Anolis sagrei: one gene and its partner. The protein of the gene in region 1 interacts with the protein of each later gene in a pairwise test. Links are inferred from orthologs where the notes say so. Each region holds a gene or a part of one and is shown on either strand. Other genes may lie near its edges.

Region 1 (7,381 bases):
ACCTGAAATATGAGATATAGATAATAAAGGACAAATAAAGCTGACCCATACACATTATATGCATAATAAATAGAAGAGCTGAAAATATAAACAGGTAAAAAGCAACAAATGTAAATAAACAACAAATAGAGCAGATTAATAAGTACATAGTCAGTTTAGTAAAAACGGACAAAGCAATACATATAAATATAGGCCACAAATACATAAAAAGTAAATAATAGCTATAAGAGACCCATAGTAATATAGATGGGAGGATATGTGTGTTTATGTGTATGTGTGTATGTATATATATGTGTGTGTGTATATATATATATATATATATATACCATATATACTTGAATATAAGCTGACCCGAATATAAGTCGAGGCACCTAATTTTACCACAAAAAACTGCAAAAACGTATTGACTTGAGTATAAGCTGAGAGTGAGAAATTTAGCTTGTACTGGTAATCATCAGTAGGTTAAATGTTTTTGAGTATTTACATACAACTGTAATTTAAGATAAGACTGCCCAAATCTGATTAAACCATTATTCTAACCTCCTTCAATGCAAATGTGCTTACCTATTACTAATAATGATAGAGTAGAATAATAAATGCAATAACATGAAATAAAAATAATAATAGAGTAAATAATAGAAATGTAATAATATTGGTAATAATAAAGTAATAAAAGCAATAATAACAATAATAGAGTAAAATAATAAAAGCAATAATAATAATAAATAGAATAAAATAATAAATGTAATAAAATAATAATAGAGGAAAATAATGTAAGTGTAATAATAATAATAGAGTAAAATAATAAATGTAATAAAAATAATACTAATAACAGAGTAAAATAATAAATAACCTTGACTCGAGTATAAGCCGAGGGGAACTATTTCAGCCTAAAAAAGGGGCTGAAAAAATAGGCTTATACTGGAGTATATACAGTGACTAAAAAAATAAAAATAAAAAGAGAAGCAAATACTAATAAGAAATCATAAATAAATCAATAACTAATATAACAAATATTAGCAATGAACAAATATAATATTAAATTGATCGACACAAATAAAAAGCAATGGATATAAATAATATAAACAAAGTGTTAATACTAAATAACAAATATAAATATAATGGACATTAATAAATAGCTTAAAAGATAATAAAGATAAATATAAATAGTGAATAAATAAAATAAAAAGCAATGGATACAAGGAATATAAATAAATTTCAAATAATAGATATTATAAATAATATAAACAATAAATTGTAAACATATAGATAAAAACAAAATATAATAAATATTAAGAAACAGTTACGAAATAAAGAAATAAGATAAAAAATCAATACTGTCGATACAAATATTATATTAATAAATTGCAAATAAATAAATAAATAATAACTTTTTTTTTGTTCCCCGCCTCCATCTCTCCAAAGGGACTCGGGGCGGCTTACAGATGGCAGAGTGTGCCTAAAACAATGCATAATAAACACACAATACAAGATAACCAATATTCCAAATAATAAACATTAATAGTGAACAAATATAATTATAGATAAATTAGTACGCAATACATATAAATAATATTAATAAATTACAATGAATAGATAACGAACATTATAAATAATATAAGAATCCTTAATCATTAATTATTAATAAATAGAGAATATAATGCAATATAAATAAATTATAAAGAATAAATGATGAGTATTCCAAACAATATATTAAACAGTAATAAAAATGCGTAGATAAAAAAGCAACTGATATCAATAATATAAATAAATAATAGTTAAGAAGTTTTATAAATAATATAAACGGTAATAGTGAACAAATATAATACGAATAATTACGGTATCTATATAAATAAAAATGTTATGTTTGTTTGTGGGATTAACAGAACTCAAAAACCACTGGACAAATTGACACCAAATTTGGACACAAGACACCTAACAACCCAATGTATGTCCTTCACTAAAAAAATTGATTTTGTCATTTGGGAGTTGTAGTTCCTGGGATTTATAGTTCACCTACAATCAAAGAGCATTCTGAACCCTACCAATGATGGAATTGAACCAAACTTGGCACACAGTTCTCCCATGACCAACAGAAAATACTGGAAGCGTTTGGTGGGCATTGACCTTGAGTTTTGGATTTGTAGTTCACCTACATCCAGAGATCACTGTGGACTCGAACAATGATGGATCTGGACCAAACTTGGCATGAATACTCAATATGTCCAAATGTGAACACTGATGGAGTTTGAGGAAAATAGAATCTTGACATTTGGGAGTTGTAGTTGCTGGGATTTATAGTTCACCTACAATCAAGGAGCATTCCGAACCCCACCAACAATAGAATTTGGCCATATCTCCCACACAGGACCCATATGTGGGCCACAGCAACGCGTGGCAGGGGATGGCTAGTAATAGATAAAAATACAAAACACTGCACATAAATGCATATAAATAACAAATAATTTGAAATAAACAATGTAGCAAAAATAAATAATATAACAATAGATGAAATTAGGAAGCAATGGATACAACAAATATAAATGGTAAAGAATTAGATTAGATTTATTCTAAATAATATAATAAACCATTAATACACAGTGAACAACTAGACTAATGGTAAAAGATAGATACAAAATCAAAAGGAATGGCTCCAAAGAATCTAAACGCATTGAGAAGGGGAAAGATGACACTCCAAGATGAGGCGGCGGGAGCTCACCTCGTCCTCCTTGTGGTTGCGGATGCCCCTCACGAGGTCCTGCAGGTTCTTGTCAAACATGCGGTCGATGCTGCCTTTGACCATCTTCAGAGCCATGGCGGCGGAAGGAGGAGGAGGAGAAGGAGAAGAAGGAGGAGAGGAAAGCCGCCGCTGGACTCGAGGCGGGTGGGGAAAGGCTGCTTCCAGCAACACCGGCGGCGAGAAGGCAGTCCTCGGCCTTAAAGGCGCGCTCCCATCCCGGGGCGGCGGCCGCCTCCAGTCCCTTCTTTCCTGCCCCTCCGGCGCCGCTTCTCTGAGGCAATTAAAATGGCAAAATGGCGAAGAGTCAGCTGAGAAGAGGAAACTCAAGCCGCGCCCCCTTTTTGCGCGACGGCGTCAGCACGCAAGAGCGCCGGCTGGAAGCCCCGCCCACTTCATACTAACTAGGATTAGCACGCAGGCGGCGACTGCTGGAAGCCCCGCCCTCTTTTAGCCTCACCAACGTCAGCACACAGGCCGCGCCCGAATGGAAGCTGAGAGCCACGCCCCCTTTTGATGCCGGCTGACGTCATCACGAAGGTGGTTCCTGGCTTTTCAATATTCACCGTCAGTACGCCACGCCCCCTTATATGCCCACCAATGACAGCATGGAGGCGGCGCCCTGTTGAAAGCCAAGCCCCCTTTTGTTGCCCATCAGCACGAAAACATACCAAGCCACCTTGTCTCTCTCCTGAGGAATCTGTACAACAGTGGTTCTCAACCTTCCTAATGCCATGACCCCTTAATACAGTCCTTCATGTTGTGGTGACCCCCAACCATAATATTGTTTTACTAGGTTCTTGTGGGTTTTTTCGGGCTATAGAGCCATGTTCTAGAGGCATTTCTCCTGACGTTTCGCCTGCATCTATGGCAAGCATCCTTAGAGGTTGTGAGGTCTGTTGGAAGTAGGAAAATGGGTTTATATATCTGTGGAATGGCTGGGGTGGGGCAAGGAGCTCTTCCCTGCTGCAGTTAGGTGTGAATGTTTAGCTGATCACCTTCATTAGCATTTGAAGGCCTGCTTGAGCCTGGGAAAATCTGTTGCTGGGAGGTGTTAATCTGTGCCTGGTTTTTTCCTCTCTGTTGTTTAGCTGTTATAATTTTAGAGTTTTTTAATACTGGTAGCCAGATTTTGTTCATTTTCATGGTCTCTTCCTTTCTGTTGAAATTGTCCACGTGCTTGTGGATTTCAATGGCTTCTCTGTGTAGCCTGACATGGTGGTTGTGAGAGTGGTCCAACATTTCTGTGTTCTCAAATAATATGCTGTGTCCAGGCTGGTTCATCAGGTGCTCTGCTATGGCTGACTTCTCTGGTTGAAGTAGTCTGCAGTGCCTTTCATGTTCCTTGATGCGTGTCTGGGCAATGCTGCGTTTGGTGATCCCTATGTAGACTTGTCCACAGCTGCATGGTATACGGTAGACTCCTGCAGAGGTAAGAGGATCCCTCTTGTCCTTTGCTGAACGTAGCATTTGTTGGATTTTCTTGGTGGGTTTGTAGATTGTTTGTATGTTGTGTTTCCTCATCAGCTTCCCTATGCGATCAGTGGTTCCCTTGATGTATGTTTAATATAATATTGTTTTCATTGCTACTTCATAACAGTCATTTTACTACTGTTATAAATCATAATGTAAATATCTGATATGCAGGATGCATTTTCATTTACTGGGCCAAACTGGGCACAAATACCCAATACACCCAAATGTGAATGCTAGTGGGGTTGGGGGAGGATTGATTTTGTAATCTGGGAGTTGTAGTTGCTGGGATTTATAGTTCATTACAATCAAAGAACATTCTGAACTCCACCAATGATAGAATTGGCTCAAACTTCCCACATGGAATCCCCATGACCATCAGAAAATACTGTTTTTCTTATAGTCTTTGGCGACCCCTCTGACAACCCTTCGCGACCCCCTCAGGGGTCCCGACTCCCAGGTTGAGAAACACTGCTGTACAAGGACCAAGTAGCAACAGTCAGAACTGACCACGGAACAACAGACTGGTTCAAGATTGGGAAAGGCGTACGGCAAGGCTGCATCCTCTCACCCAACCTTTTTAACGTGTATGCAGAACACATCATGCGATGTGCGGGGCTTGATGAATGCAAAGCTGGGGTGAAAATTGCTGGAAGAAACATTAACAACCTCAGATATGCAGATGACACCACTCTGATGGCCGAAAGCGAGGAGGAGCTGAGGAGCCTTCTAATCAAGGTGAAAGAAGAAAGCGCAAAAGCCGGGTTGCAGCTAAATGTCAAAAAAACCAAGATTATGGCAACAAGAATGATTGACAACTGGGAAATAGAGGGAGAAAATGTGGAGGCCATGACAGACTTTGTATTTCTAGGCGCTAATATTACTGCAGACGCAGATTGTGGCCAGGAAATCAGAAGACGCTTACTTTTTGGGAGGAGAGCAATGTCCAATCTCAATAAAATAGTGAAGAGTAGAGACATCAGACTGGCAACAAAGATCCGCCTAGTCAAAGCCATGGTATTCCCTGTAGTAACCTACGGATGTGAGAGCTGGACCTTAGGGAAGGCTGAGCGAAGGAAGATCGATGCTTTTGAACTGTGGTGCTGGAGGAAAGTGCTGAGAGTGCCTTGGACTGCGAGAAGATCCAACCAGTCCATCCTCCAGGAAATAAAGCCCGACTGCTCACTGGAGGGAAAGATACTAGAGACAAAGTTGAAGTACTTTGGCCACATCATGAGGAGATAGCAAAGCCTAGAGATGACAATTATGCTGGGGAAAGTGGAAGGCAAAAGGAAGAGGGGCCGACCTAGGGCAAGATGGATGGATGGCATCCTTGAAGTGACTGGACCGACCTTGAAGGAGCTGGGGGTGTTGACGGCCGACAGGGAGCTCTGTCGTGGGCTGGTCCATGAGGTCACGAAGAGTCGGAGACGACTGAACGAATGAACAACAACAACAAGCACAAAAACAGTACTTATTTATTTATCACTAGCTGGAGCCCCCGGTGGCACAGTGGGTTAAACCCCTGTGCCGGCAGGACTGAAGACCAACATGTCGCAGGTTCGAATCCGGGGAGAGGTGGATGAGCTCCCTCTATCAGCTCCAGCTCTTCATGCGGGGACATGAGAGAAGCCTCCCACAAGGATGATAAAAACATCAAATCATCCAGGCGTCCCCTGGGCAACATCCTTGCAGACGGCCAATTCTCTCACACCAGAAGCGACTTGCTCCTAACACGACCAAAAAAAAATCACTAGTTGTCCCCTGACACACGTTGCTGTGGCCCAGTCTGGTGATCTGGAAAATAAAGTAATGAGAAAGTGTTGGTTTCTAATAATAATAATAAAATAATAATAATAATAAAACTTCCCATCTCCCCAAGGGACTCGGAGCGGCTTACATGAGGCCAAGCCCAACCATACATCAATAAACAACAACAATAAACAAAGCAGAAAATACAATACAATTAATATAAATCACATATAAACAATAACCAATAAACAGTAACACACAAAATTTTAAAAACCTATGGCCGGACCAAATGTAATGGTTTAAAAATTAAAAAATAAACGCTGGGCATGAACAAGGTCAGATATAACTGGTATAGGGTTTTCAAAGAGAGATGAGGGAACGCAGTCAATCCTGACCAGTAGTAAAGTGCATTCTGAGGGCATATTGCTGAAAGTTTTATAATAATAATAATAATAATAATAATAATAACAACACTTTATTTGTACCCCGCTACCATCTCCCCAAGGGACTCGGTGCGGCTTATATGAGGGCAAGCCCGCAATACATCAATAAACAGAACACCAATAAAATAAAACATCAATAAACAATCAATGCAATATAAATCATAATCACATAAACAAAATAAACAATAAGCAGTCAACAGTAACATATAAACATTTAAAACCAATGGCCAGGCCAAATGTGATAGATTAAAATTAAAAAAATAGTGCTGATGTGAACCAGGTAGGATATAATTGGGATAGGATTTTTAGAGAGAATGAGGGAATGCAGTCAATCCTAAAGCAGTAGTAAAGTGCATTTTGAGGACATAATGCTGAGAGTTTTCCCTATTCTGGGAAGGCACACTGGAACAGCCACGTTTTCAGGCTCCTCCTAAAGACTGCCAGAGTTGGGGCATGCCTGATGTCCTTGGGAAGCGAGTTCCAGAGTCGGGGGGCCACCACCGAGAAGGTCCTCTCTCTCGTCCCCACCAATCGCGTCTGCGAAGGAGGTAGGAGTGTGAGCAGGGCCTTTCCAGATGATCGAAGAGATTGTGTGGGTTCGTACACAGAAATATGGTCACGCATTTGTAATTTCTTTATGCTTGTGGGAAAACAGTATTTCTTGTTGTTTCTTTGTCAGTGTTGATGTGGAGATTGTCAGGTTTGCCTACTCTGGAACATGCAACAGCCACGAGAGTATCGAGAATATCTCTCTCGATATTAGGAAGCTATTTCTTGATTTAAGTGGCTGGTGTGCTGGCTAATATCCAAACAGAGGATGGGCCGGAGATGTCACTGCCTTGGTCCTTTCATTACAGTCTGCTACTTTCTGACAGTTGTCAGGTGATGCAAAACCAGCTAAACAGTATAATTCCTACAGCAGTGTAGGGCGTAGACATCCTGTGATAGTGTGGCATGTCTCATTAAGAGCTACATC
Region 2 (7,467 bases), on another chromosome or scaffold:
CATGATCCAATGGCAGCCCTTGCAGTAAGAAAGTTTCTTAAAGGGCAAGGAATCTTAGCTTCCTATTATGCCTCTTGCTTCTTGTATAAAACTATTCAAGAAAGCAGAAGTGTATTAATGCAATCCTAGCCACATAGTTTGCCAAAGGGAAAATCGGTTGCTCCTTGCCCAAGTTGCTCCATCCAGAAAAGGCTTTTTAAAAACCTTCTTAGCTTATACTACGGTACTAATTATTTATTGTCTACTCACATTACTTCCATTTTATATCCCCTTCAGGCGCTAACCTTACACAAAAGAATAGTCACTGTGACTTTTCAAATGTAATCTCTTCAAGACATTATGTTCTAGGATGGCACTTTATTTTGTCAAAGAAGATTAAAAGATACAGGTCTTTCTGCAGCACAGGAGGATGAGAATGGTCCTCCTGTGCTGTTGCGCAGACTTCGCAAAGTATGTAGTAATCACATCAGGGCTTTTTCTCCAAATGTTCTGTGAACCTTCCATACAGACACCTAAAATCTTGCCTTACAATGTTAACTGGTTTTAATCGCTGATTGAGTCAACTACGTGACCCACTGTGTTTGTGCACTTAATACAAGGGTATCTTTTGTTTTCTCTGCTGAAGAATCAGCAGAGAAAAGCTTTTGTTTTACTGCAATGTTTTTGAAACACCAAATAGATATGAGAACCTATTAGTATGTAAGGTAAAAGCCATCCCTGGGTTCCATTTGAGGTTCTATGGTTGATGTCTGCTAGAAGTTGATCAAAGAATTGTACTCGAAGAGCTAGAGATTTCTAGAGAGAAACATCAAATATAATCCATGAACAATCAAATCTGCAAAAGTCAAAACCACCAAGGGCCCCATCACACTAGCCTTTAAGGACTGCAATTTCATAGGACATTAAGGGAAACATATCCTAAAGGCACTAGAGTCTGTCTGATCTTGGAAGCGGAATGGTTATGATCTAGAAGGGAGACTGCCAAGCACTACAGATGAAATCACCTCTGATCACTCCTTGTCTGAGAACTCCTCAAGAAATCTATGGGGTGGTCATAAATTGACAGTTGATACACATTCAGAGAGCTACAGCACTTTTCCAAATTACAAATCCAAGGATGATACATACTGCATCCTAGGAAGACAACTGCCCGGAGTCCCCTTGGAAAGAGGGGGCTGTCTAGAAATAAAGCATTATTGTAATTACTGTTACTATTATATCCCAGGGCAAAAAGTATGCACCCTGAGGCAGGATAATATGAATCTACACTACCGCACAATCCAGTTCAAAGCAGACAATCTGGATACAGAAACTGGATTATATGGCAGTGGAGATGAGACCCACAAGAGCATTAAAGAGGAGGAAGCAGAGACAAGTGTTATCCTCTTCAAGAAAAAAGGAGAAGCAACATTAAGAAAAGCGCTGAGAAAGAAAGGCTGGGAAGCTTGACCAGGGCCCTTTCCACACAGCTGTATAAAATCCACATTGAACTGGATTATATATATGGCAGTGTGGACTCAGGGCCCTTCCATACAGCCATATAATCCAGAATATCAAGGCAAAAGATCCCACCAAATTTCCTTTGAATTGGGATATCTGAGTCCACACTTCCATCTATTCCAATTCAAAGCAGATAATGTGGGATTTTATTCAGTTGTGTGGAAGGAGCCTCGGTTATATTGGGAGTCCATACTGCCATATATCCCAGTTCAAAGCAGAAAATGTCAGATTTTATTCAACTGTGTGGAAGAGGCCTCAGATAACCCACTTCAAAGAAGATATTGTGGTATTATCTGCTTTGATATTCTCGGTTATATGGCTGTGTGGTAGGCCTGCGTCTATGCTAGTATATAATCCAATTCAAAGCAGATATTGTGGGATTATCTGCCTTGATATTCTGGGTTATATGGCTGTGTGGTAGGCCTACGTCTATACTAATATATAATCCAATTCAAAACAGATATTGTGGGATTATCTGCTTTGATATTCATGGTTATATGGCTGTGTGGTAGGCCTACGTCTATGCTAGTATATAATCCAATTCAAAGCAAATATTGTGGGATTATCTGCTTTGATATTCTCGGTTATATGGCTGTGTGGTAGACCTACGTCTATACTAGTATATAATCCAATTCAAAGCAGATATTGCAAGATTATCTGCCTTGATATTCTGGGTTATATGGCTGTGTGGTAGACCTACGTCTATACTAGTATATAATCCAATTCAAAGCAGATATTGTGGGATTATCTGCTTTTATATTCTCGGTTATATGGCTGTGTGGTAGGCATACGTCTATGCTAGTATATAATCCAATTCAAAGCAGATATTGTGGGGTGATCTGCCTTGATATTCTGGGTTATATGGCTGTGTGGTAGGCCTATGTCTATGCTAGTATATAATCAAATTCAAAGCAGATATTGTGGGATTATCTGCTTTGATATTCTGGGTTATATGGCTGTGTGGTAGGCCTATGTCTATACTAGTATATAATCCAATTCAAAGCAGATATTGTGGGATTATCTGCCTTGATATTCTGGGTTATATGGCTGTGTGGTAGGCCTACATCTATACTCGTATATAATCCAATTCAAAGCAGATATTGTGGGATTATCTGCCTTGATATTCTGGGTTATTTGCCTTGTGTGGTAGGCCTACATCTATACTCGTATATAATCCAATTCAAAGCAGATATATGGCTGTGTGGTAGGGGCCCGAGTCCACACTGCCATATAACCCAGTTCAAAGCAGATATTGTAGGATTTCCTGCATTAATATTCTGGGTTATATGGCTGTGTGGAAGGACACAATTGAGAAGGAAAGGAGGAAGGCTTCAGTCAGGCCTAACCCTTTACCTGAGGGTGGGGGCGTTGCTATAGCAACAGTGGCCTAGTCCGAGGCTTCACTACCACCAAGGAGGCAGGTCTCCTCCCTCAGCGGCAACCAAGCCTCCTATTTGGTGAGAACCGCCGTTCCGTCTCTTCCCCTCTCCTTCTCCCCGGCTTTTCCGCCTCCTCACCTGGCCAAGCGCCCGCCCGGACCCTCCAGGCCCCGTCCTGTAATCGACAAGCTTCCAGGACAAGCCAGCAGCGCGTGAGCTTCCGCCCCTGGCCGCAAAGGCTCCTGGGAAGCCGAGTTCGGACGCCGGGGAAAGACAGGAAGTGACGACAAGAGCGAGGCCGGAAAGCTGCCAGTAGACAACACAAACCGGAAGTGTTTCTCGTCTGTTTCTGAGGGAAAGATGGGCGAGGAAGAGGAGAAGAGGAAGCCCCCGTCTCTGCAGATGGTGAGGGAGGGCAGTGTGACTCCTGTCTTCACCTTTTAGTGATGTACAGTATCTACATGTGACTTTCCTTTCTCTGAACCATGCCTTCCATATCAGAATGTGTGTGTGTGCTGTCGCACGCTGGGCCTGTGATTAAGACTGTAGACAGGACATAAATTCTGTGTGCCCAACGGGACGCCGGGGCTGCCTCAGATTAAAGACCTTTGGATTTCCTTAAAACAGAGTCTTTGGATTGCTTAAAGGTTCAACAAAGTTCTTTATTAATGAAAACAAACAGGTACTTTAAGGCTTTCTTAACAGTCTATTGGCTCTCTCTCAGTCTTGTCCACAGGGAACAGGCACTATCTTCATAACTGTAACTAATGGGGAAATCCTTAACTTCTAATCTGGGCAGCCTGTCTTTGCCTCTGTTGGCGTGGAGACCCTGGCTTCCGCGAATGACCCTTACCAAGCAGAGCTTTGTAGACTTCCAGGGGAAAAGGAGTTCAGGTTTCTGTGATGGCTGACTGAAGTCCTTCAGCAAAGGAACTGTAGGGCTGTATAACCCCAGCCAAGCTGTGGGCTGTATATCTCCCCGGCCAAGCCGTAGAAGACGAAGCTTTCTACAGGAGCTCTTGGTATTATGTCCTGCATGAAAGGCATCTCTGTGTGGACTGACCCAAAAAGTCTCCTATACCCTCCAAAAACCCAAAAAGGGGCGGGACCAGGGAACCTAACTATAATTGACAGGTGGCTTGCCCTATGATTGCAGCCAAAGGAAGCCACCTATCTGCAGAGTCCCTGAAACTTAGGACTACAACAAACATTCAATGCAAAGCAAACAAAATTGGAGTTCCTGGTACAGTTGTACCTGCACAGTGTGTGTGTATCAGGCCTGGGCAAACTTGGGCACTCCAGGTGTTTTGGACTTCAGCTCCCAGTATTCCTCACAGCCTCAGGCTTAAGCGGCTGAGGGGGAAATGGAAGGGGCCTGAGGTTGTTAGGAATGCTGAGAGTTTATTTCTTTATTTCTTTATTTAGAACATTTAAATACCACCCTTCTCACCCCGAAGGGGTCTCAGAGCGGCTTACAAGATATATTTTCATACTATTATTAGCATAGTACAATATTAGTATTATATATTACTATATTGTACTATACCATTGTTCAAGTATTAGTATTATATATTACTATATTGTTCTATACCATGTTCAAGCTGGGTTTAGAAAAGGCAGAGGAACGAGAGACCAGATTGCCAATATCCGGATGCTGGATAATGGAGAAAGGCAGGGAGTTTCAGAAAAACATCTATTTTTGCTTCATTGACTACTCTAAAGCCTTTGACTGTGTGGATCATAATAAATTGTGGCAAGTTCTTGGTGGGATGGGCATACCAAGCCACCTTGTCTCTCTCCTGAGGAATCTGTACAAGGACCAAGGAGCAACAGTCAGAACTGACCATGGAACAACAGACTGGTTCAAGATTGGGAAAGGCGTACGGCAAGGCTGCGTACTCTCACCCAACCTTTTTAACTTGTATGCAGAACACATCATGCGATGTGCGGGGCTTGAGGAATGCAAAGCTGGGGTGAAAATTGCTGGAAGAAACATTAACAACCTCAGATATGCAGATGACACCACTTTGATGGCCGAAAGCGAGGAGCTGAGGAGCCTTCTATTCAAGGTGAAAGAAGAAAGCGCAAAAGCTGGATTGCAGCTAAACATAAAAAAAAACCAAGATCATGGCAACAAGAATGATTGACAACTGGAAAATAGAGGGAGAAAATGTGGAGGCCGTGACAGACTTTGTATTTCTAGGGGCAAAGATTACTGCAGATGCAGACTGTGGCCAGGAAATCAGAAGACGCTTACTTCTTGGGAGGAGAGCAATGTCCAGTCTCGATAGAATAGTAAAGAGTAGAGACATCAGACTGGCAACAAAGATCCACCTAGCCAAAGCCATGGTATTCCCTGTAGTAACCTACGGATGTGAGAGCTGGACCTTAGGGAAGGCTGAGTGAAGGAAGATCGATGCTTTTGAGCTGTGGTGTTGGAGGAAAGTTCTGAGAGTGCCTTGGACTGCGAGAAGATCCAACCAGTCCATCCTCCAGGAAATAAAGCCCGGCTGCTCACTGGAAGGAAGGATACTAGAGACAAAGTTGAAGTACTTTGGCCACATCATGAGGAGACAGCAAAGCCTAGAGAAGACAATGATGCTGGGGAAAGTGGAAGGCAAAAGGAAGAGGGGCCGACCAAGGGCAAGATGGATGGATGGCATCCTTGAAGTGACTGGACTGACCTTGAAGGAGCTGGGGGTGGTGACGGCCGACAGGGAGCTCTGGCGTGGGCTGGTCCATGAGGTCACGAAGAGTCGGAGACGACTGAACGAATGAACAATGTTTTAAGGGCACTGTTTCATTATCTGGGCAGAGGCTACAAGGGGGCGATAGAGAGAAAAGGATAGTCCATTTTATGGGAGTGGAGGGCCCCCCAACTGATGACATATGGAGGAGACAAAATGGAACTGTCCCCTGCCTCCCCCCTTCACTATGGCCCAGAGCGGCAGTTGGTGCTGGGGGGAGGGGTTCCTAACTGATCACATATGCAGGAGACAAGATGGAACTGTCCCCTTCCCCCCCCCCCATCTCTTCACTCTGGCCCAGAGCGGTAGTTGGTGCTGGGGGGAGGGGGTCCTCAACTGATCACATATGCAGGAGACAAGATGGAACTGTCCCCTGGAGTTGAAGTCCAAAACACCTGGCAGGTCCAGGTTTGCCCATGCCTGATAAACATGGTTGAACAGAAGCTCTCCGAAGCTTTAGATGTTTTTACAACTCTGAGGATTACCTGCGAAAGAGTCCCACTAGAGCATTGCAGCACACCCAAATACCTGGGAGTTACTCTGGACTTACAAGAAGCACTGGCAAAAAATGGGTGCTAGAAATATGCAGGTGGACCAAAAAGTTTTGCCTCCTGCATCATAAAAATGTTATAAATGAACATTTAACAGCAGAAGTTGCTCCAGATCATAGCCTGAACTGTCCTCTATCCAAACTATTATTCAGCATGGTCACCATCAATTTGTACACATTTGCACCAGAGATATACAGAAACCACATCCTTAGATGCTGCTGTATGCCAAAGATGTTATGTTAGCCGCCGAGTCATGGGTAGAGTTGCAGACTCAAGTGCAAGTGTGGAAAAATCATGTGCAATATTTCGGACTACAGCTTAACATCTCAAAAAAGTACATGGAATGTGGACCAACAGTAGAGGATGGCTCCATCAATATCAAGGGGACTGACCTCAACAAAGTGACCAGCTTTAAATCCCTCGGCTCAAAGATAACCTCTGCCTGCGAAGTACTGTCGGATGGTCACGGACATGTAAACTCCATATGGATGAAGTGGAGAGCAATGACAGATGTAATGTGTGATAAGAAGATCCCAATCCACCTAAAATTGAAAATCTACAGGACGGTGGTGAGACCAGTCGCTCTATACACCACTGAGTGTTGGCCAACCACTAAGGCAGTTGAACAAAGTCTGGTCACCTTCAATGGGTGTTAACCTGAAGGACAGGTTTCCAAACAATACAGTGCACTCCATCTTTGGCAGTTTAATAAACTTTTTGATAAATTGGATATGGCAGTGTTAACTCAGATAACCCAGTTCAAAGCAGATATTGTGAATTATCTGCCTTGATATTCTGGGTTATATCAGAAGCAGACAGAAGGTGGCAGCAGAACAGAGCAGCTGCTGAGACAGAAGACAGCCCGGAGCACCAGAGAAAAGGCAGAAAAATGTCTTGATGAAATTAATGACATACTATCAATTAATATACCTAAAATCCAAATATAGCACTTCTATTAAATTTTGGAGACATAAGATTGAAATGGCAGAATAAAGAATTAATAGTAATTTTTGTTATTGCTTTAAGATTAGAAAACTGTCTTGAGACCTGCCTTGAGAAGGGGACAAAGCTCAGGATTCCCACCCAAACAGCCTGAGCAATTGGCAAATTTGTGTTTTTTTTAATACATTATAACTTTATTCTCAATTTGCTTCTAACATGATAAATAAGTCTGAGCAGTATTTCTCATCCAATGCTGGCGGTTCATAGCTACTTAAGAAGGCCTGCATCCCATGCCATTGTTCAGCCATGAGTCCCCAGCCCTCCCCATTATTGTAGACACTGGGCTAA

What was found. The genes of interacting proteins can lie anywhere in the genome.
Region 2: the proteins of AP3D1 (region 1) and VAMP7 interact in a two-hybrid assay, tested with the Homo sapiens proteins (2 studies listed by BioGRID and IntAct). The link is inferred for Anolis sagrei from reciprocal best matches to the Homo sapiens genes AP3D1 and VAMP7.

What each region holds. Positions count from the first base shown.
Region 1 is NC_090034.1:51,490,126-51,497,506, forward strand, and holds the start of AP3D1 (AP-3 complex subunit delta-1), read right to left. Parts: upstream 3,051-7,381; 5' UTR 2,816-3,050; coding exon 2,720-2,815; intron 1-2,719. UniProt on the Homo sapiens protein: Part of the AP-3 complex, an adaptor-related complex which is not clathrin-associated. The complex is associated with the Golgi region as well as more peripheral structures.
Region 2 is NC_090030.1:14,746,668-14,754,134, forward strand, and holds the start of VAMP7 (vesicle-associated membrane protein 7), read right to left. Parts: upstream 3,132-7,467; 5' UTR 3,018-3,131; intron 2,964-3,017; exon of another isoform or gene 2,854-2,963; intron 1-2,853. Other genes in the region: DNA-directed RNA polymerases I and III subunit RPAC2-like, read left to right, coding at 3,240-3,284. UniProt on the Homo sapiens protein: Involved in the targeting and/or fusion of transport vesicles to their target membrane during transport of proteins from the early endosome to the lysosome. Required for heterotypic fusion of late endosomes with lysosomes and homotypic lysosomal fusion.